Elephas maximus indicus: one gene and its partners. The protein of the gene in region 3 purifies or fractionates together with the protein of the main gene of each other region. This does not show direct contact. Links are inferred from orthologs where the notes say so. Each region holds a gene or a part of one and is shown on either strand. Other genes may lie near its edges. The genes, in order: PHF10, VPS72, ACTL6A and SMARCD2.

Evidence for each region.
Region 1: the proteins of ACTL6A (region 3) and PHF10 purify together in Homo sapiens (affinity purification with mass spectrometry; 3 studies listed by BioGRID and IntAct, with this or other methods). This does not show direct contact. The link is inferred for Elephas maximus indicus from reciprocal best matches to the Homo sapiens genes ACTL6A and PHF10.
Region 2: the proteins of ACTL6A (region 3) and VPS72 purify together in Homo sapiens (affinity purification with mass spectrometry; 3 studies listed by BioGRID and IntAct, with this or other methods). This does not show direct contact. The link is inferred for Elephas maximus indicus from reciprocal best matches to the Homo sapiens genes ACTL6A and VPS72.
Region 4: the proteins of ACTL6A (region 3) and SMARCD2 fractionate together in Homo sapiens (co-fractionation; 5 studies listed by BioGRID and IntAct, with this or other methods). This does not show direct contact. The link is inferred for Elephas maximus indicus from reciprocal best matches to the Homo sapiens genes ACTL6A and SMARCD2.

What each region holds. Positions count from the first base shown.
Region 1 is NC_064819.1:242,847,821-242,855,196, reverse strand, and holds the start of PHF10 (PHD finger protein 10), read left to right. Parts: upstream 1-4,360; 5' UTR 4,361-4,383; coding exon 4,384-4,470; intron 4,471-7,376. UniProt on the Homo sapiens protein: Involved in transcription activity regulation by chromatin remodeling. Belongs to the neural progenitors-specific chromatin remodeling complex (npBAF complex) and is required for the proliferation of neural progenitors.
Region 2 is NC_064821.1:185,214,245-185,221,869, forward strand, and holds the start of VPS72 (vacuolar protein sorting-associated protein 72 homolog), read right to left. Parts: upstream 3,009-7,625; 5' UTR 2,905-3,008; coding exon 2,788-2,904; intron 1-2,787. UniProt on the Homo sapiens protein: Deposition-and-exchange histone chaperone specific for H2AZ1, specifically chaperones H2AZ1 and deposits it into nucleosomes.
Region 3 is NC_064819.1:35,368,390-35,375,469, forward strand, and holds the start of ACTL6A (actin-like protein 6A), read right to left. Parts: upstream 3,018-7,080; 5' UTR 2,818-3,017; coding exon 2,793-2,817; intron 2,764-2,792; exon of another isoform or gene 2,515-2,763; intron 1-2,514.
Region 4 is NC_064837.1:55,038,729-55,046,728, reverse strand, and holds the start of SMARCD2 (SWI/SNF-related matrix-associated actin-dependent regulator of chromatin subfamily D member 2), read left to right. Parts: upstream 1-4,986; 5' UTR 4,987-5,290; coding exon 5,291-5,506; intron 5,507-8,000. UniProt on the Homo sapiens protein: Involved in transcriptional activation and repression of select genes by chromatin remodeling (alteration of DNA-nucleosome topology).

The DNA of each region.
Region 1 (7,376 bases), about 210 Mb from region 3:
TACATAATCCTTTGCCTCCATTTGCTGCAATTGCCTGTAGTCCCCTGGCTTATTCCTTCTCATTACTTGAAGACTTGTGTTACTGGATCACAATCTTCTTTACCCAACTCCTGCCACCATTCTTAGTGACTTAAGTATCCACATAGAAGACCCATTTAATAAGGCAGTACTTGCTTTTCAGTGTTCTGATATGCATAAATTTTAGTTACCATCATTTAGCTAAATAACACTAGTCCCCCAACAACATGGCCCAAATCTCAGTTGCCATGGTGTATTAACTGTGAGAAACTGCATAAGGTAAACTTCACAGCTGGCTCTTTGATCCACAGATCACATATGGAGATAACAGATGTGTGTCATGCTCCTCTTTTGAAGTCCGTCAGGTTGGTCGCTGCGTGTCTGCACTCAGGGCTTCAGTTTGCACAAACAGTAGAGTGTGTAGTTATGCTGCCTCCTCATCTCCCAGTGATATACCCACTTGATGTTTTATTAAAAATGGGTAATCCAAAGGGGGAACTGGCCAAAAAGGTCAAAATGTACAGCAAAGAAACAAAAAGTGATAAAGTTGGAAGGGAAATTTGGATGTGATTAGGAGATTTCAAAATGAGGACAGCAAAGCAAAGACAGGATGAGATCTAGGCCTGTGTGAAGGTAATGTAGGAACATCGGGAAAAAGTGCAGTGAATATAAAAAACAAGGTAACGTTGCTTCGGTATTTTTTAGCTTAATTGCACTAGGAACAGAAAGCTGTTCACAATTGAAATGGAGACTTTCTTCTACCTTGGCTTGAAGACTGCATTAATAATAATAATAATAAATACCAGACAGTTTGATTAGCACTCAGGACAAAGTGTGGAAATCAGTTGTCCCACTGAAAGAAAACAGTAATTATAAAGAGACTGAACCTTTTACTGCCAGTGAAGGCCGGTCTTGTTTCAGAAGTCAGCATGATTGATTCATGTCAGGCTATCTGGTAAGCTGCTAGCGCAGGTGATGACACTGCAGGCGTCTGCACCCAGAGCTCGCAGGAGAGTCATGACAAAAGGGGACCATATCCACATGGAGCAACTCCACATTGAGGAAACTCTGGGAGGCATTCACGACATTGAAAATACAAATGAGAACTTGTTGGAAGCTGACCCAAACTTAGAAAAGAGTATGACAATTTATCAAGGTATAGGAAAGATAAGTTATAGAATGAGAAGGCAAGCAAGGTTCACATTACTCTTTTTTTTTTAAACAAAGAACTCTCAATGTTTTTGCTGTTTTAAATTACAAACATACTAAATAAATACTAGCTTTACAACTTTTTTCATTTCCCTATACATTTAAAAGAAGTCCCTGGGTAGCACAGATGGTTTGTACTCGACTGCTAACCTACAGGCTGGTGGTTCAAACCCATCATGCAGCGCCTTGAAAGGCCTGGTGATCTACTTCTGAAAAATTAGCCATTGGAAACTCTATGGTGCACGGTTGTACTCTGATTCACATGGGTCTCCACAATTCACTGACAGCAACTAGCTAAAATAATAGGTCACTCAGAATTGCCTCCTTAGTGCTCTTCCCTGTCTTGCACATTGGTAGTCTGAGTATTTGTTGAAATGAAATGTTTTATATTCGTATTTGGTCTAGAGACAGAATAGCTAAGAAGAGTAGGGCAAAATAACTGAATAATTTAACATTAAGCTCTTTGCACGGAAATCTGACCGAGTCCCCTGAACAGTGAAGAGAATTTTGGGGCGAGGTGGGGCCGGATGGAGTGGGTGGAAGGCTGCATCTGCGACCTTCACTCTCAGCTTCTTGCCTGGACTTCAGGCCGTTTTCCACCGTGGGCTCCTGGAATAGGGCGGGGAGCAGGTCTGACTGAGGTTGTGGGAGAAAGCGAAGTCTGAATTAGGAGAAGTTCCGGAGCCTGAAGTTGTTGGTGATGCCGTCTCTGATTTGATGCAAGTGAGAAGGCCCGGGAAGGGTGGGCTGGGAGGGTAAATGAGGGTGGTTTGTATTAACGTGATGGACAAAAAATCATTCATGTCTCTCAAGACTTTTGGCTGCTGCGTGTAGGCAAAAATATGAATGAGAGAGAAGCCATGTTGTACTTTAAATCCAGTTGCCCGGACTAACGTCTCATCTACACTCTGACAGTCAAGCGCCTGCTGAGAGGTCAGCTTTGACTCATTTCTGGCAGTTCCGGAGACAGTCACAGTTGTCTCCCACGTGTTAAGGTTGAGTCCCCAACATTCTGCTTTTCTAGAGAAGTCCTGGAAGTGCCTCGTGAGGCCGGAGGACTAGGGGTGGTAATAGATTCAGTCCGCAACGGAGAGCCGCCGTTTACTCTCAACGGGCTTGCGCAGTGCGCTTTGCAGTGACCCTGACGAGCCACCCGTGAGAGCCGGGCGCGCGGAGCCAGGGCCGGGCAGCGCTGAGGGCGTGTGTGCTCGCGCCCGCCGCTCCCGGACGCCGCCCCCGCTCCCGCCGCTCCCGGACGCCGCGTGCGCACGCCGAGCCTGGGTGGGCGCGCGCTGGGCCGCACGCGGGAGCGCCTCAGCCGCCGGCCGCCAGGGCTGCTCCCGGGTCTGCGTGAAGCGGGCGGCGAGAACAAAGACGGCGCGGGAGGCGGCTGCGGGCCGGTCGCGAGGAGAGGCGGGGCAGCGCTAGGACCGGGGACTGCGGGGCCGGGGCCTGAGGGCACCGTGGGACCGGTGACGGCTCGTTCCCGGGTCCGAGCACTGACGGGAGCGGCGCGGCTCCGCGGGCGCTGACGGGCGGACAATAGGGAGAGAGTAACGTGGGGAGGGGTCGGTCCCGCGGGCTGCGGTGGCGCGGAGAGGGGGCAACCGGCTGAGGAGAGAGGCGGGCCGGAAGTGCGCCGGGACGCAGAGCAGCGGCAAGAGGGGGCGGGGCCTAGGAGCGCGCCCGCCTTGAGGGGTGCGGGAAGCGCAGCGCCGGGTCCGGCTGAGGGTGCGGAACTGGGGGCGGGGCTAGGTGGAGGGGCGGGGCCTCGGGGGTGGTCCGTGAGGGGAAGGTCCCGGCCGCGAGGGGGCCGGGCTGAGGGGAGGGTCCAGGTTGAGATGCCCGGCCGTGAGGGGAGGGTCTGGGACGGGCGGTGGGGCGGAGCCGTGGGGGGGATACGTGAGGGGGCTCGGCTGAGGGGATAGTGCGGGCTGAGGGGAGGGTCCGTGAGGGAAGGTCCGGGCCGAGGGGAGGGTCCGTGATTGGAAGGTTCCGGCGGCGAGGAGGACGGGCTGAGGGCAGGCTCCGTGACGGGGGGGTCCGGGCTGAGGGGACGGTGCGGGCCGAGGGGGTGTGGGCTGAGGGGAGGGTTCGTGAGGGGAGGGCTCGGGCGACGAGGAGGGCAGGCTGAGGGGAGGCTCCGTGACGGCGGGGTCCGGGCTGAGGGGAGGGTGCGGGCCGAGGGGAGGGTCCGGCCTGAGGGGACGGCCCGGGCCGCGAGGGGGCCGGGCCGAGGGGAGGGTCCGGGCTGACGGGAGGGTCTGTGAGGGGAGGGCCCGGGCCGTGAGGGGGCCGGGCCGAGGGGTGGGTCCGGGCTGACCGGAGGGTCCGGGCTGAGGGGAGGGTCTGTGAGGGGAGGGTCTGTGAGGGGAGGGTCTGTGAGGGGAGGGCCCGGGCCGCGAGGGGACCGGGCCGAGGGGTGGGTCTGGGCCGACCGGAGGGTTCGGGCTGAGGGGAGGATCTGTGAGGGGAGGGCCCGGGCCGTGAGGGGGCCGGGCCGAGGGGTGGGTCCGGGCTGATCGGAGGGTCCGGGCTGAGGGGGGGGTCTGTGAGGGGAGGGTCTGTGAGGGGAGGGCCTGGGCCGCGAGGGGGCCGGGCCGAGGGGTGGGTCTGGGCCGACCGGAGGGTCTGGGCTGAGGGGAGGGTGCGGGCCGAGGGGAGGGTCTGTGAGGGGAGGGTCCGGGCCGAGGGGAGGGTCTGGGCTGAGGGGAGGGTCCGGGCTGAGGGGAGGGTCCGGGCTGCCAGGAGCTTCCGGGCCGAGGGAGGGCCTGCGTCTGGCGGGCGGGGCGGGGCTCGGCGGCCGCGTTGCCGGCAGGGCGGTGGGAGGGGAGGGTGACGTGAGGAGGGGGCCGAGAGCGTCCGCCATCGCTCGCCGGCTCCGCGTCGCCTCCTGCTTCTCCGGCCCTCTCGGCGGCGGCACTCGGCGCGGCGCTGGCGGCGGCCATGGCGGTGGCGGCGGCCATGGCGGCGGCGGGCCGCGGGGCGCGCGGCGGCAGGGGCCGGCCCCCGGGCGGCGGGCGGGCGGGGGTGGCCGAGGGGGCGGGGCCCGGGGCGCGGCGGGCTCTCCGCGCGGCGGCGGCAGCGGCGGCGGCGGCAGCTGCCGGGACCAGGCGGCGGCGGCGGCGACGGCGGCGGCGCGGGGCGCTCGGGCTGATGGCGGCGGCGGCCGGCCCCGGGTCGGCGCTGTCCCCGCGCCTGTGCGACGGCGACCCGTCCGCCCCCGGAGCGCAGTCCCCAAAGGTGAGGAGGCGGCGGGAGGCGGGCGGCGGGCGGGTCCCGCGGCGGCCGGGCGGAGCTGTGGGCGCCGCCAGCCCGAGGCCGCGGCCGGTCCGAGGGGAGCCGCGGCCGGTCCGAGGGGCGCCGCCGCCGGGAGTTTCCGGAGAAGTTCTGTTCCTCCGCGCCCTCACGGCGCCCCGGCCCCGGACGTGCTCGGCTGCCCGGCGGCGGTTCACCCTGGCGCCTTCCCTGAAAACGGGGCGGTCCGGGAGTCAGGCCCCGGCGGCGGGCTCCGTGGGCGGCAGGTTCGCGCGTGGTTTCCTCTTTTCAAGGAGCGCGAAACGGCGAGACGCGGACGGGGGAATTGGAAGCCTTTTCCCAAAACTTTGCGGCCATTTCCGTATCTGAGACTGTAAGCTCAGTTCCTGAAAAGCTTACTCAGACTTTATTAGAGAAGCGTTGTGCTTCCAGGTAGAAACGAAACTCTTCATAAATAAAAGTCTATTTCGTATTAGTGTGGGATAGTGTGATGTTCTCAAAACATCATTCTGTGAATTTTTTCCGAGATACTTGACCCCTTATTAAAACGAGGGTTGTAAACAGCCCTGGAAACAGGACGTTTCTTTAGTGAACTTAGTAGAATGGCTCAACTAGCACGGCCGGGACGCTGGCGCCGACGGAGACACCTTGTGGTCGCACAAGGCTGTCCTGTGCCGGCCGTCTTCCTGCTCCTTGTCCTCTGGGGGACCTGGTGTTTCAGGTGTCCCGGCCAGTGAACCTAAGTAGACCAGGTGTCTGTCCGCACACCACTGTCGTCCTTGCAGCATCTCATGCAAGGCTGGCATGTGCTGGGCTCGGCCAGGATCCAGCCTGCAGGACGGGGTACCTTATCGAAGGTTGGAGCCACCTGTAACCACGAAACGTAAATGTCTGTTTGGGACGTTTGGGAGTTTTTGAAAACATAGGTCAAGGTTTCCAGTAAACTCTTAGGACTTAATTCTATTCCATAGTATGTTGGGGAAGACATTGCTGGCATTGTCTTGAAAAAGGTGAGCTAACCGAATTCTTACATAATAATCCATTTGCCTAGGATAGCAAATTGCAAACTCTTTATATATGGAGTTGTGGTTTCAGCTTTTTGAGGACTTATTTTAACTTTTATTATTGAGTATCTCAATTTTTTAGCTAAAGAGAAATATTTTTAAGCAGATTGACTTAAAAATCCTTAAAATGTTTACAAGCAAGTCAAAAAATAAGGATACTTTGACTGTTGAACTCTAGAGGTATTGAATATGAAATGTTGCAGTTGTAATACTACTTAATTGTAGTTGATTAGTAGTTTTTTTTAGTAGTTATTTCAATGTAAAATTTCTGAGAGTAGCTTTAGACTATTCTCCAGGTCCTACCTGGCTGATGGTCTTAATAAGAATATACAGATCTCTTTAGTTGAATGCTTACTTTATAAGGACTGAAAAACAGTATTTTGTACATTTTACTGAGTGGGGAAGGATGTGAGTAAATTCCTAACAGCTGGAGACGTTTGAGATATTTGAATAATTACCATTATAATCATAATATTAACTAACATTTATTGAACATTTAAGCTGAGGCTAAGGGAGCTCAGCTGCTGACCAAAAGATCAACAGTTCGAATTCACCAACCACTCCTTTAAAACCCTATAGGGCAGTTCTACTCTGTCCTATAAGGTCCCTGTGAGTCAGAATCGACTTGATGGCAGTGGGTTTGGTTCATTATTTCCTAGGCATTGCTCTATGTGCTTTCCATGCGTTAACTCATTTAATCCTTGCGTTAACCACATGAAATGGGCACTGTTACCATCTTGACTTTACAGATAAGGAGAGGCCCCTAAAGGATGAGCACGCAAGCTCTACAGAGGGGCAGCATCCGGTGATTCCATGCGTGATCACTACCCCATACTGCATCTTTGTTTTCCTTTGTAGGGTTCCTTTCATTTTAGTATGTAGCAAGAGGCCTGTGGTATGTTAACAAAATTGTATTAGTATTAGAAAGTTACAGTAATTTGATTTTTAAAAAATCTGTGTTTTTAGATCTTGTTAAGTGCCTTCTAGCTGGCTCTGACTCATAGTGGCCTTGTGTACAACAGAACGAAACACTGCCTGGTTCTGTGCCATCCTCACAATCATTGTTATGCTTGAGGCCATTGTTACAGCCACAGTGTCAATCCATCTCCTTGAAAGTCTTCCCCTTTTTTATTGACAGTCTACTTTTCCAAGCATGATGTCCTTCTCCAGGGACTGATCTCTTCTGAATAACTTGTCCAAAGTATGTGAGACGAAGTCTTGCCATCCTTGCTTCCAAGAAGCATTCTGGCGGTACTTCTTCCAAGATAGGTTTGTTTGTTCTTTTGGCAGTTCATGGTATATTCAATATTCTTTGCCAACACTATGATTCAAAGGCATCAATTCCTCTTTGGTCTTCCTTATTTGTTATCCAGCTTTCACGTGCATATGAGGCGATTGGAAACACCATGGCTTACCCCTTGACTAGTATGTGAATAAATCAATTTCCTAATGTCTAATTCCTCATTTCATTTCCTTAATGGAAATGTTGAACTTAAACAGTTAAAAACCAGTTACCCTGGAGTTGGTTGCCACTCATCGTGACTCCATGCGTGCCAGAAGAGAACTGTGCCCCACAGGGTTTTCAGTGACTGATTTTTTGGAAGTAAATCACCAGGCCTTTCTTCTGAGGCAGCTCTGGGTGAATTCAAATCTCCAGCCTTTCAGTTATCAGCAGAACAGGTTAACTGTTTACACCACCTTTGATATTCTTGTCACATAAAGGATTGCATTAAAAGTTTTTAAATCTCTCCTTTTTGGGGGATGTGAGTATGGCTGTACAGATTGATGACTTTTTAGGGTATATTTTTGCTAAATTTTTGAATGTAA
Region 2 (7,625 bases), on a different chromosome or scaffold from region 3:
AAGAAGGAATCATGAGCGGATGGAATAACAGAAACAAAGGTACAGAAGCAGGAATTTGTAAAGCATGTTTATGGAATAAGGATTTAGACCCAAGTAGAGCAGAGAGTTTGTCTCTGGCAAAAAGCCTTCCTAGCTGAAGGCCTTTGAATCTGGCACAGTCAACCATCTTCCAACATTAACTGATTGCCCTTCAGTATTTTACGATTTGAAAAGACAGCTGCATTCAGTCTATAGAGAAGCTTATATGCCAGGCATGACTTTAATATGCAGGCCAATGATTCTCAATCTTCTTCCTCCCCTTATTTGTCCTAGCACTATTACCACTGTTGAGGTAAACTAACATCACTGAGAGAAATGTCTCATTTCTCAGGTGTGCTGGGAGAGACAAACAGTTGGGTGCTACTACTATGGGTAATGGGGAATGTGGAAGATTTGGGAGAGGCGAAAACAGTGTGACAAAGGAGTGTTTCAAAAAGCTCTGGAGGTGGTTAGATGGGCTGAAGTAGAGCTTGGAGTACAGCCTAAGCCTGAGATGATGCAGGTTAGGGCTAGAGTGGGAGCCACCACGGAAAGGGAAGAGAAAAAAGCACTTGGGAGAAGGGAACTCAACTGGGCTGGGCAGCACCTCAAACATGTGGCTCTCTCTTCAATCAGTGGTACAGATTGATGGGCTAATCTTGGTACACATGCTACCAAAGCAAGCAAATAACACTGATGGGTGACACTCCAAGCTGGCCAGAGTTCAGTCTTGCAGTGATGACCATCATTTCCTCCCAACTGAAGTTTGTGAAAGACGGCCTCAGAGCACATTAATCCTCTCAGCTCTAACCAGTATTAAGTCGTATCACTAGAGGGTAGTAGTTCAACTACACATTAGCTTAGTGCTCAACCGAAGTGCTTTCACTAAATCATGAGTTTACTATTACTCTTTTGGTTTTTAATGACGGTCATTAATAGGCATGACTAGATAAGAAAATGTTTTTATACCCATAAAACCACTATTACTTAATATACTTTATAAAAAACGGAATGATAAATTTTTCCTGGAATTTAATGCTGAGTAAGTTTGTCTCTTTTGATGGAAGTACTTACATGCTTCTTTCTTATTAAAAAAAAAAAAGAAAGAGAGAAATTCAGGGTTTAGCTGTCAAGAAGCTCATAGCTAAATTTAATATCAACTGCTATTACCATTTTAGCATAGGCTCCTGGTACAATTATCTGATCTGTCTCTATTTTTACTGTTCCTACTTTTTGTTTATATAATAAGCCTTCTTAAATCCTTTTTGGAAGCATGAAGGGTACATATTAAATAACTACTCATAAAATGACAGGAATAGGAAAATGGGCTGAGGGGAATTGGCCTTGGAGGAGGGATGAGAAAGTTCTATTTTAAACTACTTGGTTAAGGCTGTGTAAGTATGACTCCTAATCAGTCCCTAAGTCTATGGATTCTATTTCCTTACTTTCTCTTGAATCCTCCTGTCCATGTTTCTCCCTCCCACAGCCACAACTTCAGTTTAGACCACTATTATCTCTTGCCTGGATTTTTGCAACTGCCTAATCTGGTTTCTTTGTTTCTAGTCTTGTCCCCTTCAAACTATTCCCCTCACACAGAGTACTCTTTCTAAAGTATAAATCTGACTATGGAACTTGGATGAAGCGTCTCACTCTAAAGAAAAAAACTCCTTAATTTGGCTCACAATGCCCCCTATATGATCTGGCCCATGCCTATTTCCTCCAGCCTTTCCAATCTTTATTCTTCTTCATCCTCTGGAAAATGGGGTAGACTTGGGGGTTCCCAGACAAGACCTGAATCTCAGTGCTTTTACACACTCTTCCTCACCCCCTCCAGTGTACTGATTGGTCCCCTCCCCCAGCTCCCAGCCCTACAGCTCTTCAACCAGCCAAAGTCTACTCTTAATACTGTCTTCAGCTTAAACATCATCTCTCCTTGGATGGCTATGCTGACCACAACTCTGGCTCCCATGGGTTACCATAGCATCCTATGTTTACCTCTTATTTTACTGCTTATCACACAATATTTTAACTGCCTGTTAACCCAACTAGTTCTCCCATGCAGGTATGAAATGTTAAGGACAGTGTTTTTAATACTCTGTTTTCTTAGAGGCTATTACAGTGCCTGGGATGCTCTGGGTGCTCAATGATATTTAATAAATGGATTTGGTCAATAAAAATCTAAGGAGTGACATTAGACATATACTGTTGAGCAAAACAGACTATCTCTAAACTTGTAGAGCTTACAACCTAATAGGAAAATATAAACAAATAAGTAAACCAAATCCAATTACAAATTGAAATATGTCCTATGAATGCAACAAATGGGGACACTTTTTCAGGTCAAAGAAGAGTTACCTAAGGAGACATTTACAGTGAGACTTGAAGCCTGAAAAAAGGAATGTGCTAAGCCCCTCTATCTTTTGGAGAGATTACTTTCTACATGTCAGTTAAATAACCAGGCAGCTGGCCAACGAGTATATACCGAATGACTACGATGTGCCTTGCATGGGGTGAGAGATGCAGCTAGAGAAATACACAGTAGGTTTCTCCCACACTCTGCTGTCTCCCTCCAGAGAGCCTCTCCACCCCTGACTCCCTTCAGCCCTGTCCAGGGCTCTGTTCTCTAGGACTCCACTGTGTATCCCCAGACTCTCTCACCCCGTCTCGAGTATCTGCGTCCAGGACTCCTCTCTATTCCCGTTCCCTTCTTCTTTGGCAGGACTCCTCTTTTCGTTTTCTCCCCTCCCTCTACCTGGGCCCGGCTCTTGCCTCTGTGAAACCCCCATAAGTCGTCTGGTAGAACTCATCTTCCTCCTCGGCCTCTAGAAGCCCAGAAAGCCGGTTCCCGGCGGTCTTCCGCGGGGCTCGGCCCCCAGCCAAACTCATACCGCGCACCGAGAGTACGCCGCCGCCTGCGGCCCCTCACCCAGCTCGGGTCTCGGAGCTCGGCGCTTGACACCACTACCTGCGTGTGACCGATGCAACGGAAGCGGGGCGTCTACAGGCAGAAGCAGCAGAGCGTCGAGGGCCTCCAGCCTTCTTTACTCTTCAGCCCCGCCCACTACTGCGCAGAGCCTCTGCTACCCCTGCCTTATCCCGCAGGGGCTTCGGCTGTGGGAAGCATGCCATCCCTGGCGCTGAGAGCCTTACTACCGTTAAGTCCAGAATTTGCGAGTCGAACAGTTTCCTTTTAGAAGAGGTCATTGTCCCCCTGCTCCAGTCCGTTTTCCGCTCTGCTGCTAGTAAGAAACTTTCTAAAAACTTGTACGTGACTTTGCCACTCTTCTGCTCAAAACCTTCAATGGCTCTCCATCTTCCACAGGATAGAGTCTAAGCTCCTCGAGGCAGAACAGTATTGTGATTAAGAGCACAGTTTTAGAGCCTACTAAACCTGAGTTCGAATGTGAGCTTTAAGGTCTTCCAGCTGTGTGACCTTACCTCTTTGAATCTCATTTCCTCATCTGTAAAATGGGGCTAATAATACCTTTTAAGGCTGTTGTGAAGATTAAAAAATATACTTATTAACTGATTAGCACAATTTTAGTCCGCACATGGTAGATGTTTAGTAGATGATCACTACTATTAATGTGCCATTCAAGAGCCTTCCTAACTTACCCTCTTCTTGCTTTTTTAATCTCACTTCTGCCACATCTCCATGTATATCCAGCATCACTCCCTTGAACCCAATTCTCTGTTATACCTCCAAGCTTCTTCTTCTTAGAATCCCTGTCCTACACATGAGACCGTGTTGGTATCTCCTGTCTGGAGAGGAGATGAGAGGGCAGAGGGGGCCAGAAGCTGCCCGAACGGACACGAAGACAGACGGTGGAGGGAAGAAGTGTGCTGTCTCATTAGGCGGAGAGCAATTAGGAGTGTACAGAAAGGTGTATAAATTTTTATATGACAGACTGACTTGATTTGTAAACTTTCACTTAAAACACAATAAAAATTATTTAAAAAAATTCCTGTCCTTTCTTGTCTACCTGGAAACATTCTTATTCTATAGGGGAGTCAGGAGTACTGAAGGAAGAAGTCCAAGTTGCTGTGAAGGCATTGGCGAAAAACAGGGCTCCAGGAATTGGTGGAATATCAATTGAGATGTTTCAACAAACAGATGAAGCACTGGAGGTGTTCACTCGTCTATGCCAAGAAATATGGAAGACAACTTCCTGGCCAACTGACTGGAAGAGATCCATATTTATGCCTGTTCCCAAGAAAGGCGATCCAACCAAATGTGGAAATTATAGAACAATATCATTAACATTACACGCAAGCAGAATTTTACTGAAGATCATTCAAAAACGGCTGCAGCAGTATATCCACAGGGGACTGCCAGAAATTCAGGCTGATTTCAGAAGAGGACGTGGAACCAGGGATATCATTGCTGATGTCAGATGGATCCTGGCTGAAAGCAGAGAATACCAGAAGGATGTTTACGTGTGTTTTATTGACTATAAAAAGGCATTCGACTGTGTGGGTCATAATAGATTATGGATAACATTGAGAAGAATGGGAATTCCAGAACACTTAATTGTGCTCATGAGGAACCTTTACATACATAGATCAAGAGGCAGTTGTTCAGACAGAATAAGGGGATACTGATTGGTTTAAAGTCAAGAAAGGGTGCATCAGGGTTGTATTCTTTCACCATACCTATTCAATCTGTATGCTGAGCAAATAATCCGAGAAGCTGGACTAAATGAAGAACAGGTCATCAGGTTTGGAGGAAGACTCATTAACAACCTGTGTTATGCAGATGATACAACCTTGCTTGCTGAAAGTGAAGAGGACTTGAAGCACTTACTAATGAAGATCAAAGACCACACCGTTCAGTATGGATTGCACCTCAACATAAAGAAAACAAAAATCCTCACAACTGGACCAATGAGCAACATCATAATAAAGGGAGAAAAGATCGAAGTTGTCAAGGATTTCATTTTACTTGGATCCACAATCAACAGCCATGGAAGCAGTAGTCAAGAAATCAAAAGACGCATTGCATTGCGTAAATCTGCTGCAAAGGACCTCTTTAAAATGTTGAAAAGCAAAGGTGTCACCCTGAAGACTAAGGTGCGCCTGACCCAAGCCATGGTATTTTCAATCTCATCATATACATGTGTAAGCTGAACCAATGAATAAGGAAGACCAAAGAAAAATTGATGCCTTTGAATTGCGGTGTTGGTGAAGAATGTTGACTATACCGTGGACTGCCAAAAGAATGAACAAGTCTGTCTTGGAAGAAGTACAACCAGAATGCTTATTAGAAGCATGGATGGTGAGACTGCGTCTTACATACTTTGGATGTGTTGTCAGGAGGGATCAGTCCCTAAAGAAGGACATCATACTTGGTAAAGTACGGGGTCAGCGGAAAAGAGGAAGACCCTCAACGAGGTGGACTGACACAGTGGCTGCAACGTAACAACGATTGTGAGAATGGCGCAGGACCAGGCAGTGTTTTGTTTTGTTGTGCATAGGGTCGCTATGAGTCGAAACCGACTCGACGGCAACAACATAGGGCAGTCAAGTCTTTCCTCACATCCATTCCTCTCGTTCCAGGCACAGTTCCCATAACTATGGCGATCATGCCTCCTGGAGTCTCTGGAATAGTTTCAATTTATTTTGTGACATTTTCAGAATTCTGTGTCTACTTCTGTTCCCATTTTTCATCCTGAAAATGTAGTTGTCAAACCATAGCACTTGTACATAACTCCATGATGAGACCTTTTGTTGTAACGATTTGGGTGTCTGTCTCCTTTATTAGTTTATGATCTTTTTGAGGGCAGGGACTTTATCTTCATCTCTTATGCCAGGAGCTTTCATACTGCCTGGGGCAGTTGTGGCTAAATAATGTACATTGAATGATGGAATTAGCATATTACAAATGGAATGAATTAGTACCTGTGCTCTTATTCTTGCCTCTGTGTTGCTTTTGCCAGCCACCAGCCATTCCATTCTGACTTTAGGAACTGTACTAAGACATAAAGGAAGCTTTTCTAAAGCTGTGTGTTTGTGTGTATGTCTTCCTGGCCATATTTTGTGGCCACCACATTGCGCCTTTTCCTAAAGTATATATTGGTGAACTCCCTTTTTCACTTCCTTGGGGGCACCAAGCCAACTTGTCCCGCCCTGCCCCTGCATCCACACCCTGCCACGTCACCCCAGTTTTGCTATGCCAGGAATGTTACTGCCCTCTATGACTCAGAGGGCACCCTGGGGATGGAGTGGGAGTGGGGACAGAGACAAGGTTTGGGGGTGGGCGTGAGATGCCTACTTCTTAAATACCCCTAGCTCCACTTCTTGAATTTTGCCTTCATCCATTCATATATTCAGGAGGTATGTATTGGGTACCTACTCTGTTCCAGATGTTTGAGATATTAAAATTGACGTCATCTTTGTCCTGAAGGGTTCATAGTCCTATTAGGGAGACAAATAGGTACACAAACTGACATAATACAAGGTGGTAGGTATCTAATAGTAACCATTTTCTGGTACATAAAGCAGAAACTAAGACTCTTAAGAAGCCACCAAACAGGGGTGTCTTCTTTCAGGATGGCTGAAGTCAAATTCACCCCTTCATCCAAGTGACAGATCAGATCCCTTTGTTTGACCTCCTGCCCTGGTAACTTAGGGCTTTATTGGTCTTTTTCCAATTTTTAAATCAGAAACAGCTTTACCTCTATACCAGCTGATAGCTAAAATAACTCAGGAAACGGTAGCAACTCCATGCTTTATATGGAAACGGAGATAATCAATAAATATTGAACACCCACTATGAGCCCAATCCTGAGCTAGGCAGTGTGCCCCCACACAGTCCCTGTACTGTTTAGTTGGGTGGGGGGTATAGAATTAAAAAAAAAAAAGAATTAGGCATCATAAAATACTTCAACACTGCACAATTCCACTGCTGTGAAGTTACCAATGTCAATCCAATCCTTTGAAGTAGTTGTCTACTTTCATACCCCAAAGAGGAAGAATAATCCAGCAGGTGGCAGCAGGGAAACAATCTTGGATCTAGTAGGGGAAGGATAGATAGAAGGGGATATTCTATGGACATTCGGGTCCTAGATTCCTTCAAAAACCCGGAATATCTGGATAGAATAACTAGGCCCCATCTTGAGGGCTATAAAACTTATACGTGTTTTTTTTTTCCTCATTTATCTTCATTGATTCATTCAACCATTAATTATTGAGCCCCTGCGATGTACACAATCATGATGAGGAGCCGGAAATGCAACAGTAAACCGAACAGTTCCTGCTGTCCAGTAGTTTACAATCTGTTCAGACAGGTTTCTGAATCACCACCAGGGTTCAGAACCTCCAAGGTACTTTGTTAAAACTGGAGTGGGTTAGTGGAGTGGGTTAGTGCGAAGACTAGACGATGGAAATTGGGCAGTTTCTCTGTTTCATCTCTATGACCTGTGGAGCACAGAGAATGGAGAGTTGGAGGCTAAGGGTTTGGATCACGCAAAGGTTTTGATATGGTCTAATGGTCTTCCATTAGCAAAGAAAGGGAAGATGTCACTGTGAATACTAGGGTGCACCTCACCCAAGCCGTGGTGTTTTCAATAGCCTCATACGCATGCAAAAGCTGAGCAGTGAGTAAGGAA
Region 3 (7,080 bases):
GCGTGTTCCTCCCTTTTGGCTTTCTAACTCCAGATCTTTGCACACTTTATTAAAATACTTTGTCTTCTCCAGCCACCCTTTAAAATCTTCTGTTCAGCTCACTTTCTTCATCATCTCTTTCATTTGCTTTAGCTACTCCACGTTCAAGAGCAAGTTTCAGAGTCTCTTCTGACATTCATTTTGGTCTTTCTCTTTTCAGTCTTTTTAATGACCTTTTGTTTTCCTCATGTATGATGTTCTTGATGTCTGGTCTTTGGTCATCAGCGTTCAATGCATCAAATCTATTCTTGAGATGATCTCTAAATTCAGCTGGGATATACTCAAGGTCATACTTTGGCTCTCATGGATTTGTTTTAATTTTCTTTAACTTGCTTCAAGTTGAACTTGCATATGAGCAACTGATGTTCTGTTCCACAGTCGGTTCCTGGCCTTGTTCTGACTGATGATATTGAGCTTCTCCATTGTCTCTTTCTACAGATACAGTCGATCTGATTCCTATATATTCCATCTGGCGAGGTCCACGTGTATAGCTGCCATTTATGTTGCTGAAAATTGGTACATGCAATGAAAAAGTCAGTGGTCTTTCAAAATTCTATCACATGATCTCCGGCATCACTTCCACCACCAAGGCCGTATATTCTAACTACCAATCCTTCTTCATTTCCAACTTTTGCATTCCAATCACCAGTAATTATCAAGGCATCTTGATTGCACGTTTGATCAATTTCAGACTGCAGAAGTTGGTAAAAATCTTCAATTTATTCACCTTTGGCATTAGTGGTTGGTGCATAAATTTGAATAATAGTCGTATTAACTGGCCTTTCTTGTAGGCGAATGGATATTATCCTACGACTGGTAGGGTTTAATTCAGGATATATCTTGAAATGTTCTTTTTGATGATGAATTTGACACCATTCCTCTTCAAGTTGTTGTTACTGGCATAGTCAGCCATACGATCGTCCTATTCAAAATGGCCAATACCAGTCCATTTCAACTCACTAACAACGCCTAGGACATCAACCATTATGTGTTCCATTTCATTTCTGATGAGACGGGATTAGAGGCAGTTATGTTAATGAGGCAGGACTCAATCTACAGGATTAGGTTATATCTTGAGTCAATCTCTTTTGAGATATAAAAGAGAGAATCAAGCAGAGAGGAGATGGACCTCACACCAGGAGAGGAAGGGGTCCTTTGGACCCCGGGTTCCTGTGCTGAGAAGCTCCTAGACCAGGGGAAGACTGATGACAAGGACGTTCCCCCAGAGTCAACAGAAAGAAAACCTTCCCCTAGAGCCGGTGCCCTGAATTCAGACTTCTAGTCTTCTAAACTGTGAGAAAATAAATTTCTGTTAAAGTCACCCACTTGTGGTATTTCTGTTATAGGAGCAATAGATAGCTGAGACACCCTGTCAGGAAATACTTCTTGGATCAGTGAACCTAAAGTCGTAATAACATCAACAGCCTCCACGAGGCACAGGGCACATAGACGCTGTTTTTCTGTCAGGATTGCACCTTTAGACTGGGAAGACGTAAATCATGAAGATCCTCTAGGACCTCTCCAAAATAATAGTGGGAAACTACTGACTCTTACATTCAGAAATGAAAACCAAGGACATAAACAAAAAGGGAGAGAGGGGGCAAGGGTCCCTATACTACCTCAGAAGAGACTCTGAAACTACACTCCAAAAACTAAGAACTTTGAAGCTTTGTTTTTGTTTACCCCCTACCCAAAAAATGCCATCTTCAGAAAAGAAATCCCTACTAGAAACAGTAACAATGCCCATACTTTGGATTTGTCTCCTTGTTCTCTAACTCATCAAACACAATGCAAAATGTGAACCATATACATCAGTGCTTCAAATCACCCGGGAATCTTACAAAAATACAGGATCTGATTCAGTAGATTTAGAGGAAGGCCTAAGATTCTGCATTTCTACAAAGCTCCCACGTGATGCTTATACTGCTGGTCCATGAACCTCACTGAGTAATATGGATACGCATTATCTCAGTTTACCTTCACGACCACCCCCTCAGGTAAGTATGATCGTTCTCATTCCATAAAGGAGGAGCCTCAAGTGGAGAGGTGACTCGCCCCAAGGGCCGAACAAATGGGGCGGATGATATTACCGCGCAGGTCTGTGTCGGTCCCAGGCCCGCTGTGATCTTCCCCCACACCACAGCCTACCCACAGAAACAAACCAAAAGGCACGCGGGATGGCGGCAAGCTCTCTGCGACACCCTTCAATCACACGTGTTCCGCAAGTAATCCCAAACAAACCCGCCCACGAGGAACTCTGGGGACTCCAGTCAGGGCCCCCAGTCAGGGGTCCCAGTCAGGGACTCCAGTCAACAAAGCGCCGGGAGCTACTGAAGGCGGGAGGCATCGCGGACGGAGGGCTGGTCCCGAGCGGCCGCCGCGCCTCCAAGCCCTTCCGCCCGTCGCGGCGCGCTCTGCGATTCAGGCTCCACGCTAGCGAACTGCCGGACCTCCCAAGCCCGAGCTCACACGCACCCCGACGCGGCCGGCTGTGGAGACTCCGGAAAACGGCGGCCCCGAGCGGAGCTCCTGCGCAGCCCGAGCCCGAGCGCCCTCCAGGGGCCGCGGAAGGGCCCGAGCCCGAGGCGCTCACCGAGCCCGGGGGTCTGGGGCGGGCAGAGCGCAGGGCGGGGATGGGGCGGGGAGCCGGTCCCGAGTGGGAAACCCGAAAGGGCCGACGAGGAGGGATGCGGACGGCAGTCACGGACCCCACACTCCAGGAGCCGCGCTCCCTTCTGGCCGCACTCACTCACCTCCCCCGTACACACCACCGCTCATGGTTGCTTCTGGCGCGACGCCTACGCCACAAGACACCCGGCCAAGGAACCGCAGCGGCTGCAACTGCAGGTCCCACGACGCGTTACGCCGACCCCCTCAACTTCCAACGCCACGCCCCTCAGGCAACAAAGCAGCGTCCGCACACCCTGGAGCACAGCCACACTTGCTGGCCCCTCCTGCCAGCCAAACACGAGCGGCCCAGGCTACGCTCTGGCCATTCAGAATGAACCTATGCTGCTTCCCTGCCGCGGCTCAGCTAGTTTAGCCAATCGAAGGCAGCCATGGGGAGTGGGAGGGGAGGGAGCGACGCAAAGAGAGAATGAGTTGGGCTGCGGAACTGGAAGGGCGGGGCTTACCGGGGTGGGCGGGGAGAGTGTGGTGGCGCAGGAGGATGAGGAGGAAGGCTGGACGGCAGTGTCGGGGGCGGGTCCGGGGGTGTGGCTGGGCTGCGGGGAGCGACGGGAACCGGGTAAAGGAAGGCAAACCACCCGTAAAATAAAAAAAAAACCAAACCGGTTGTCGTGGAGTCGATTCCGACCCATAGCGACCCTATGGACTGAGCAGAACTACCGTTGGGTTTCCAAGGACCGGCGGGTGGATTCGAACTGTCGACCTTTCCTTTGGGAGCTGAGCTCTAAACCACTGCGCCACCAGGGCTCCAACCACTGGAAGTAGAGTCTAGAAATTCAAAGTGTTTTCATGCAGTGATTCCTGGCTTTGGAATGTGATGAATGAGGAATATTTTTTCTTTTAGAAAAAGTAGTTTTCACTAACTTTTATGTTGAAAAAATTAAAATATTTAGGGTACAAGGAATCAGTAAATCAAACGAACTGAAAGGATCCTGGAATTTTTTAAATGGTTGCTAATAATTTAAAGGAGAAAGACATAACAAGTAAATTTAGGTAGCACTTTATACTGTCATCCTTTATTTTTAATCCTGTGAGATAGGTTTCAATCAACCCTCATCCCAGCAACCACCTAATCCTAAATCTATCCTAATCCTAATCCTAAATCTATCTCCAGACTGTTCATAGTCCCCTGTTTCCACCCGTCTGGTCCAGTCCAGATCACAGTGGCTTCTTCCCTGGATTACTCCAACAACTTGTTACTCTGCCTTTTCACCACACTACAGGACGCTTAATCTTTACAAAATCTGGCCATGCCAGTCCAACTCGGACACTTAACGGTGTTGCATATCCTTGCGGTTAATATCAGTTCTTAAGTTAGTATATCTAGAGTTTGGACAGATAGCCGCTACTCTTTAGGATCGATTGAATAAAGCCCCCATCAATCTCAGAGCCAGCAGAGTGGGAAAGAGATGAGAATTGGGGTGCTGAACAGGGCTAGTGAGAAAACTCCCATTCATTTGACAATAGGACTATCTCACATCACATCTGATTATTTAACCCATCATTTAACCCAATGAGGTAATGCAGGGGTTTGCTAACTGTCGCCTGAAGGCCAAACCCAGCCTGTCATCTGTTTTTGTATGACCTATTACTAGAGCTAAGAATGGTTATTACATTTTTAAGAGTTTACCAAAAAACAACAAAAAAAATTTTTAAGCATAGTATTTCATGATGTGAAAATTTAAATTTTGGTGACCATAAACTACGTTTTAGTGAAACACATACAAGCTCGTTCACTTATAGCTGCTTTCACTCCATAAAAGCAGAGTTGACTAGTTGTAACAGAGACAGTGTGGTCCACTAATCCTAAAATACTTTCTCAGACCCTTTTCAGGAGAAGTTTGCCAACCCTGCAGATAACACATGTAATGGAGGGTGCACCGAGGTACGCTGTGTTAACTGTGGTCCCCATGATTGTAGCTCACTGTAGGGGCATCTCAAATCCCCAAAATGCTTCTACTTCCACTCTGTTTTTATGATGTGTTTGGCTAATAAAGCTGATGATTTATAAAATATTGTGATACTTTGATCTTTAATAGTTAAATATTGAAGAGATACTATTTGTAAGTTTTTTAAATTAGTAATGCATTTAATCAATTTAGCATTTGAATGCATAGTAATTCATAATGAAAAACTCTATCAATCAAGAACATTGTCTGAGACTTCAACTTGCTTACTTTGAATGCGTCATACTAGGTCCAGTCACCGGAGAAGGATATCATGTTTGTAAAGTTGAGAGCCAGCAAAGGCATGGGAAATCCTCAGTAAGATGGACTGATAGAGTGGCAGAATCAATGGACTCAAACAGGCCAACAATCATGAAGATGGTATGGTCCTGGGCAACATTTTATTCTATTATACATGGAGTCTCAGCTAACACACACACACACACACCAACTTAAATGGATTATACATACTGCTCTTATTAATATTATCTCCATCGTCTCCCGTGCATGGAAAAGAATATATTCTAGAAATAAGATACCTACCTTATTTGTGCAGCAGAGGAGAAGCCTGGGATGCTCAGACTGTCTTCTCCCACCATCTTCACACTGCAGTGCGGGGGGCAGGGGGAATCTCAGATATGATAGTACCAAGAAGAGAGCTAGAGAGAAGACTGCTAAGTCATGCTTGGATGTGTTTGATTTTAAAGGAAGGATTTTGCCCTCTTTGGTAATTTGGAGAAATATTAGAAAGCAGACCATTCATAATTTCAGGTCAGCCTGTTTTCTTGATGTATCACTGAACTCATTGTGTTTATTAACCATTGAAATGAGCTTCAAATGAAATGAACTTCTTCATGGTACATCTGATGTGTCAGTGCTCATCACATGTTAATGCAGATACAGGTGACTGTTAAGAAAGGACACTCATTGAGCTTCTTGGATCAGGTGGACACTTGGGACTATGTTGGTATCTCCTGCCTGGAGGGGAGATGAGAGGGTAGAGGGGGTTAGAAGCTGGCGAAACGGATATGAAAAGAGAGAGTGGAGGGAGGAAGTGGGCTGTATCATTAGGGGGAGAGTAATTGGGAGTATGTAGCAAGGTGTATATAAGTTTTTGTGTGAGAGACTAACTTGATTTGTAAACTTTCACTTAAAGCACAATAAAAATTATTAAAAAAAAAAAGAAAGGACACTCATTCAGCAGGCTAAACAAGCTGTTATACCATTGTCAATGCTGGGGAAACTTTTGCAATAGCAGCTTGTTTTCTTCCATTCTCATAATTAGAAAAATTAGTAGAAAATACATTAAAAGTATTAACCCAGCAGAATCTACTTTACCAAACGTGAAATACCTGAGGCTTTTTTTTCCTGCATTAATATTTCTCCTCTGTAGCCTAACACAAGGCGCTCTGGTAGCACAGTGTTAAAGCAATTAATAACAAAAAGGTGGGCGTTCGAAACCTCCAGCCCACTGCTTGGGAGAAAGACATCTCTTCCATAGAGATTTACAGTCTTGGAAACCCCATGGGGTCACTATGGGGATCACTCAATGGCAGTGCATTTGAGTGGGTACCCTAGTATGTTTTCTCTAATGTAAACTCTGCTACATTATGTTACAGATAGTTTCCCCCCCCCCCCAACTCAAGGAAGCCTCACGTGTGTCAGAATAGAACTGTGCTCCACAGGCTTTTCAATGCCTGATTTTTCTGAAGTAGATCGCCAGGCTTTTCTTCCAAGGTGCCTCGGGGTGGACTCGAACCTCCAACCTTTCACTTTGCACCACCCAGGAACTCCTACAGACAGCTAGTCAAATTTAAAAACAACAACAATAGATGCTACTCAAGGTTACTATCTGTCACTTCCATTTCACGGGCATAACATATCAAAATAGTCAATGCTTATTAGTTATGTCAACCTAAACCCAAAAGAGATTGAAATAGCATGTGTGTTAACTTACCTAGCCCACAGTAGATGCTCAGTGGTTGACTCTGAATCCAAATCTACAAAAACATGTGCACTTTCAAAACTCCTTTAGAAAATCCAAGCATCCAGACTGTCTTCCATGTACTGAGGGACAGCACTTGGTTTTGCCTCATGGAGGCACTGGTCTTCCATTCTTGTAATGCTGCATCTGGACACTTGGGATGCTACAGCTTTACTCCTTTTGTCACTGGCTCCCCAGTCCTCAGGTTATAGAATCACAGCAGTTATTGCAAAAAGACTGCTCTTGTCCTTTGTCTCAGCCTTTATTAAGTTTAGAGTTGAAAAAAACTGTTATTAATGCAATCTAGGATACAAATTCAGAACATTAGCATCCATCTGTTAAGACAGGTCCTAAAGGAAATGACACAAACATTCAGGTACACTTAAAATTATGTTATTTCATAACATAATTTTATATATGACA
Region 4 (8,000 bases), on a different chromosome or scaffold from region 3:
AGAAGAACTATATGGTGCCTGGCTACCACTACCGACTGCTCTGGCTAGGATAGCAAAAGAGAGTCCCAAACAGAGCTGGAGGAAAAATTATAGAACAAAAAATTAAATTCACAAAAAAGACCAGACTTACTGGTCTGACAGAGACTGGAGGAACCCCAAGACTATGGCCCTAAGACAAGCTCTGAATTGGAACTGAAGCCGTTCCTGGAGACCACCTGTCAGCCAAACCATAGACAGGCCCGTAAAATAAACAGTAACACCTGACAGGAATGTGCTCCTTAGAATAATCAATTATAGGAGATCAAAAGAGGGACATTTGCCCAAAAGCAAAGATGAGAAGGCAGGAAGGGGTAGAAAATCAGGACGAAAGGAAACAGAGAAACTAGGACGGAAATGGGGAGAGCGCTGACATTATGTAGGGAATAAAACCAATGTCATGGAACACTTCATGTTCAAACTATCGAATGAGGAACTAATTTGCTCTGTAAACTTTTACCTAATGCACAATAAAACATTTTTCTCAATACTTTATTAAATTAAATAGTTCCGTTCCAATCTCTCTGTAGATGCAACAGGATCAAGACGGAAAGGTTATGGGAAAGCCCTTTCTCTAGACTGGAAGGCCTCAATAAAAGTTGTTGAAACGGATCTCCAAAAAGTGGGCAGTGAGCAGACTAAGTATGGAGGGAAGAAGGGGAAGAGAGAAAAAGGCATTCCTTGCTGAGGGAACAAAGGCATGGAATGATGCCTCCATGACTGCAATGTCTAATAACGAGCTGCATAATTAAGTCCTATGAGGGTGGGTGTGTCTCTTCCCCCATCTCTATCTATTCTTTAGCCTTAACTCAGTGCTTTTTTCACAAGATCTTGAATTGTCCTGAGGTGAGACAGCAGATTCCATTTGCCTATTAGGTAACCACTAATAGCATCTCCTTCAAACCAAAGGGCTCCAGGAAACCTTGTCTGATTAATCAGGACCTACTAATCAACTTATTTTTCTCTGATTCCGGATGACACTAGCTTGAACACTATTTATTTGCAAGTAATAACAGACTCAGCTACCAACAAGAGGTAATAAATTTTGCGTAGTGGTTAAGTGCCTAGGTTGTGGATGCTAGAGCATTTATATGACATTCTGGCAAAGGCAACGCTACAGAGACAAATCAGATCAGTGGTTGCCAAGGGCTGCGGATGGGGATAGGGGACTCTATTGCCCTCAAAGGGATATGAAGGAACTTGCAATGATGGAAATGTCATTTATCTTGATTGTGATGGTAGTTATATGACTGTACTCATTTCTTCAAACTTAAAAAAACTACACCTAAAAAGGTTGATCTTACCATGTGTAAATTTTGCATGTGAAAGTTGAACAATGAATAAGGAAGACCAAGGAAGAATTGATGCCTTTGAATTATGGTGTTGTGAAGAATATTGAATATACCATGGATTGCCAGAAGAACGAACAAGTCTGTCTTGGAAGAAGTACGGCCAGAATGTTCCTTAGAAACAAGGATGGCAAGACTTCATCTTCATACTTTTGACATGTTATCAAGAGGGAACTGTTCCTGGAAAAGGACATTATGCTTGGTAAAGCGAGGGTTAGCAAAAAAGAGGAAGACCGTCTACCTGATGAATTGACACGGTGGCTGCAATAGTGGGCTCAAACATAGCAACGATTGTGAGGATGGCGCAGGATGAGGCAGTGTTTTGTTCTTTTGAACACAGACAGGGTCACTATGAACTGGAACCAACTCGATGGCACCTGACAACAACAACACATCATATATAGTATGTATCTCATATACATTGTAAGGATTAAAAAGGTAATATGTGCAGGCACATGGTAAATGCTTAACAAATGTTAGCTATTTTTTTATTTTCAGAATTGACTTGACAGCAACAGGTTTGGTTTTGGGTTATTTTCTGCCTACCCTACGGGAAATCTTTCTTAATCTCTATCATGCCTTAGATATCGGTATTTTCCCCCTAATATCTTGAAGATATTTTCATCACAATAATTAAGTTATTCTTGACATTATCTGTTTATCATTCTCTCCCACTACACTCATAGCTCATTTATTCATTCCTAAATATGAGTTGAATAGGTTACAACAGTGATGAAGAGAGGCACAGTTCCTGCCTTCACAGAGTTTATATTTTAGTGGGGGAACCAGATCAGACAGTAAGCTAACCAAAAAACCCATTGCTGTTGAACTGATTCTGACTCATAGCAACCCTACAGGACAGCAGAACTGCCCCATAGGGTTTCCAAGGCTGTAATCTTTATGGAAGCAGACTGCCACATCTTTCTCCCGTGGGTTCTAACTACCAACCTTTCGGCAAGCAGCTGAAATCACTATGCCACCAGGGCTACTTGACAATAAATTGCGTACACATAAGTAAGTAATTACATATTGTGATAATCACTTGACAGGAAGTAAAGGAAGTAAGGGAGACAGTGGAAAAGCTAGAATGAGCTGGGGGCAGAAGGCTCTGAGGCGGGAAGGGGCTTGCAGTTTGAAAAACTGCAGGGAGACCATCTTCTTGTTGGCCCTTAGAAAGCCAATGGCTGAGATTTAAAATGTGCCAAAGAGGTAAGCAAGTGCCATGTCCTTGTAGAACACTTATATGTCATGAAAGGGAGGGTGACATTCAATCTAACAGCAATGATGAGCTGGGAAGGATATTAAACGAGGGATTAGTAGGGTCTGGTTTACACTGAACTGTTTTATCTGTTTTTAAGTGCACATACTAGCAGCCTCTTTTCCAAAGCAGTAGTTCTCTAGAAGGGGGGTTGTATCAGAAATAACTGGAAGGCTTATTCTTAAAATACAGTACAGGGAGTCCCCCCTTCCTTACTGGATTTGAAGAAGGGGGCTGGTAGGAATATTCTTGGAACAGCTCCCCTGGCGATTTTGATTCTCTACCACCCCTACCACTTCCTTGAGAACTCCTGCTGAAGGAGCTTAGAAGGGTTGAAATGGATGTTAACTGCCTTATCATGACCTCTTTACCCATCTTACAGGTGAGGGGAAGAGACCACTGCTCAATGAATGTAACAATTCTGGTGACCTGTCCCTAGACTGCCAAAGCCCTGGCGATGCAGTGTTTCAGCACAGTGGTTCAGCCTGGCTGCTAACTGAAAGGCTGGTGGTTCGAACCCACCTGTCGCTCCGTGAGAGAGATGTGGCAGTCTGTTTCCATAAAGACTTACAGCCTTGGAAACCCACTGGCGTAGTTCTACTCTGTCTTTATGGTTGCTATGAGTCAGAATCAATTTGACAGCGATGAGCTTTTTTTGGTCCCTAGACTGGCAGGTAAACTGACTTTTGAGGAGGAAGAGGAAACTGAGAGGACCAAGAGGTAGCAAAGCAGCAGCAATAGCAGGGTTTATCACTGGAAGAAAGATACAAGGAGGTACATATCAGGAAAACTAATTTCTAAAAAGGACTGGAGGGCTGTGCTATAAACAAGCTCTAGGGTGCTATGGTACAAGGAGGTAAGCAATCACTTGCTTGGGGATGAAAACATAAAGCAGAGGATTAGGGCCAAATAGGCCAAACAGTCTTTTACTTTGGCCACTCAAAGTGTGGTCTGAGTAGCAACAGCATCGCTTGAGAATTTGTTAGAAATACAGAATCTTGGGCCCCACTCCAGACCTTGTTGTTGTTAGATGCCATCAAGTTGATTTTGACTTATGGCAACCCCATGTGACAGAGTAGAACTGCTCCATAGGGTTTCCTAGGCTGTAATTTTTAGGCGTCAGGAGAAAGATGTGGCAGTCAGCTTCCCTAAAGATTAAAACCAAAAACCAAACCCATTGCTGACCAGTCAATCCAGACTCATAGTGACCCTACAGGACAGAGTAGAACTGCCCCATAAGGTTTCCAAGGAGCAGCTGGTGGATTTGAACTGCTGACCTTCTGGTTAGCAGCTGAGCCCTTAACCACTGCACCACCAAGGCTCCTCTCTAAAGATTACAGCCTTGGAAACCCTACGGGGCAATTCTACACTGTCCTATATGGTGGCTATAAGTCGGAATCGACTGGACAGCAATGGATTTGGGTTTTTGGTTAATCTTTACAGGAGCAGATTGCCAGGTCCCTCTCCCAGAGCCACTGAGTAAGTTCAAACCACCAACCTTTCAGGTAGCAGCCAAGTACTTAAAACTGTTGCACCATCAGGGCTATTGAATCATAATCAACATTTTTAATGTGAGCCTTAGGTGTCCTGTATGCTCATAAAAGCTTGTGAAGCACTGGTCTGTATTAGGGGAGGAGACCTCAGATCACCTAAGGTAAGCTACCTGGATTTTTGAAAAATGAAGTGCTATAACTACTGGAGAAACACCTTATTTAACTGCAGGGAGATTTTTCATAGTCCAAATTTTCTTCACCTAGAAAAACTTCATGTGAAGTCAAGTACTGGGCTTCCTTAAAGTGAGGCAAAGCCATGTTAAAAATGCACGAGAAGAATTTAGCAATTAGCCAAGTCGACCCTTAACACAGCTGGGTCGGGTCTGGAACCGCTGATGTCCTTTGGCAGCTCTGAGCCACCAGGAAGAGCTTTATAAGAAAGCCGAGTTGGCAGCTGTTCTGCCCCAGAGAGCAGCCCTTATTTGTCTTTAATGCTGAAAATGTAAAAAGGATATCTGACAAAACTACGTAAAGTCTGGCGGCTACACCAGAGAGAGAGCAGCAACTACCCCAGTCAGTGTGGCGGCCCCATGTAACCTTCGACTTCTGACCCCGAGCCTTGCTTGGCGTTTCCGGGCTAAGCTTCCTCTCCCGCCCCTCCGGCGAAGGGCCGGCCCTAGCATTGTGGGCGGGGCCTGGGGGGGGCCGGCAGTTAGGGGCGGTGCCTGCTAGGGGCGGGTCTCGCGAGGGGCGGGATTTGAGGAGGCATCCTAGCATTGGGCAGCTAGAGGTAGGCGGGGCCTACTGCAGGGCTGGGTTGGGCGGGGCAGGGAGCTAGTTGCAGCCTCTGGGTAAGCTGGGCGCCGGCGGCTCAACTTGCCGCGGCTCGGGGGCGGCGGGCGGGCGCGTAGCAGATCCCGGATCCGGAATTTGCACGACAGGAGCGGAATCAGGATTGGCCCTAGCCCAAACCGGGTCAGTGAGCAACTCCCGAACTTGGATTAGGAAATCCCGGAACCCGGATCAGCAAACCCCAGAACTCGGATTGGCAGAACCCGGAATTTAGATCGGAAAGTCCCGGAGCACGGAGCACGGACCGGATTCGTCGCGAAGCCCGGAGTCCGGATCGCGACACCGCCGGACGGGACGGAGCGATGTCGGGTCGTGGCGCGGGCGGGTTCCCGCTGCCCCCGCTGAGCCCCGGCGGCAGCGCCGTGGCCGCGGCCCTGGGGGCGCCACCTCCCCCCGCGGGACCCGGCATGCTGCCCGGACCGGCGCTCAGGGGACCAGGGCCGGCTGGAGGCGTGGGGGGCCCCGCGGCCGCCGCCTTCCGCCCCATGGGGCCCGCGGGGCCCGCAGCGCCGTACCAGGTAAGGCGGTGGCTGGGCGGGCGGAGCCGCGAGGGCGCCCCGGGCAGGGACAGAGCGGGCGCGCGGGTAGAGGCCCTGGGAGTGCCTCCTGGGCAGAGGGCATAGTCCCTGCACGGGGTCTCATGGGATATGTGGAAGACAAAACCAGGGACCCTCAGGGTGCAGCCGGGAGGTGGTGGAGGAGTTGGGGGAAAAGGGTAAGAGGGTCTCTGGGGTGGAGGGTTTGAAGCAGTTCGGAGGGTCTGGGGGTCCCGTGGGGGCTGGGATTCTGAGTGAGATATAGGAGTCGTAGGAGCTAGTGAATGTGTGGCTCTGAGAAATCTGGCGTAGATCCTGGGTTGGGGTCCTGGGAAGTGACGAGAAAGTTTTGGAAAAGGGGAGCCTCAAGGGCCCTCACTGAGAAATCAGGGTTTTGCTGCATTGACCTCGTCCCACCCCAAGTCTACCCTGGTTTTTCTAGTCCGGAACTGGGAGAGTTTAGCATGCCCTGTCCTGTTGGCTGGCTGCGTTCTTAGATGGCTCCCAGCTGCTTAAGAGGAAGAAGAGCCTGGCTTCCCAGAGCGTGGGAGGCTGAGGACAGAGCAAGGGGATTCCACTTAATGGGGTGACTGAGTTAGAGCAGAGACCGTGGTGGTCAGGCTGAGGAAGAAAAGCCTAGCCCCGTGACAGACCGTTCCGGCCGTTCTCTTCTTGGCTTTGTGCCTGTTGTCATAGTGTCCAGGAGTTGATTAGTCTGGAGGAGCAGGGAAGCTCCACTGAGCCCTGCTGGTCTGGGGTGGAAGGAGCTGGGAGAGTCACTTCGAAGGACCCTACTGTCCTGACCCCTTTGGAGTTTGTGAGGAGAGCTCCAAAGGCTTTGAGAGGCACAGACTGGATCCTCAGGGTCAGTGTGTGAGGAACTCTGCCTGACCCTGCTGGTGGGACTCAACAGTCCCCTTGTCCCGTCCGTTGTTTCAGGTGGCCCCAGAATGCTTGAGAATTGTCCGTCCTTTTTACCCCTTCTCCATTTTCATTTAGCCTTAAGGGTCTCATACCACCATATCCCAGCCCGTGTGCCCCAGCATTTGGCACAGGCTTCTTACTAATCTCCCAAGGTCTACACTGGGACTTCCTTTGACCCCTCCTCATGTCACCTGGGAGAGGTCCTGGAAGTGGTCCCTCATGGGGTAGGATGTGTGCAGAGCCGTCACTTTCTAAAGAAATAGTTAACGGGGGACAGTGATTTTTTTTTTTCCTCTTATGCTCTGTCTCTTTCTCTCCTCTCCCAAAAGAAAACAGAAGGTGTGAATATGGACAGAGATTGACCTGGCCCCAAGGCCTCCAGCTGGAGTCCATCTTTCCCACCTTGCCCTCCCCTTTGGGGATTCATGGGCCCAAGTGTCCCTGAGGGGTCTCCACATGGACCATTATAGCCCTTGGGCCTGTTAGCTGAGACCTGGACTGTGAGTCTCTCTGTGAGCCTTAGGCCTGGGGAGACCTGAAATCGGAGAGGAGACTGTTCAGCTCCCTTGGCATGCACCCCATGGGAAATGTGCCCTTAGGAAAGCCCCTTCTAGGATTGATCCCACAAGGTTTTGTGGGGAGTGGCCGTGGTACTGCAGCAAGGCCGAGGTGGCTGGCCGAGTGGCCTGGGCTTTATGGTGGGGAACTAGGGGAAGGCACCGACCCTCTGCTTCCCAAGGCTTCCCATCCCATCCGTAGATGTGGAGAGGGAGAATCCAGCTCACTTTGGTGAGTTTGGAAGTAGGAGGATCTGCTTGCCCTCTTTCTAAGGGGGGTGGTTTGACTCCCGGATCTGAGGAGCAAGAGCAGTTCCTGTCTATGAGGGCTCGTTAGGTGAGGTGGAAGAGCAGACATTCGAGGGCCTGAGCTAGGCAAATTAGGGGAGCCAACGGAAAAGAGGGGCGTGATGAACCAGCTCCCTCTAGACACTGGTTCGAACAGTCAGCGGAGGAGCTTCAAAACACCAGAAAATCAGAAGTGCACACATACGCGTATGCTCCCACCTGTGCACGCACGCAGGCACCACGAATTGCTGGGTTTATTCTGGAGAATTTAGAATACTTGCTGCTCATGGGGAATATGTTCTCCTCTAACTGAGGCCCAGCCACCAGGAGTGTCGGGGCCACAGGCTTGGGGCAGTGAAGAACGTGCTCTCTTGAGGTCTGGATTCCTCAGCTGGAGGCCCACAGCATCAGGCCCAGCCTTCTGCCCCTGCTGTCCTGGTGGTGGTGGTGGTGGTGGTGGAGCCAAGCTTACAATATGGCCTGTGCTGGGCCAAAGAGGGGAGGTTACTGCATGCTTCTGAGGGTCAGGGGACTGAGTCAAGCCCACCTAGCTGGGCTGCAGGCTGCATAATCTGGAATGCCAAGAGCTGAGAGTTCTGGGCTTTTTTTTTTTTTTTTTTTAATTCCTGGGTTATTTTTTTGAAGGGGGAGGAGTTACTGATGCTTCAAAGGCTAGCTGTGGAGCTTGGCAGGGCCAAGCTGGGGCT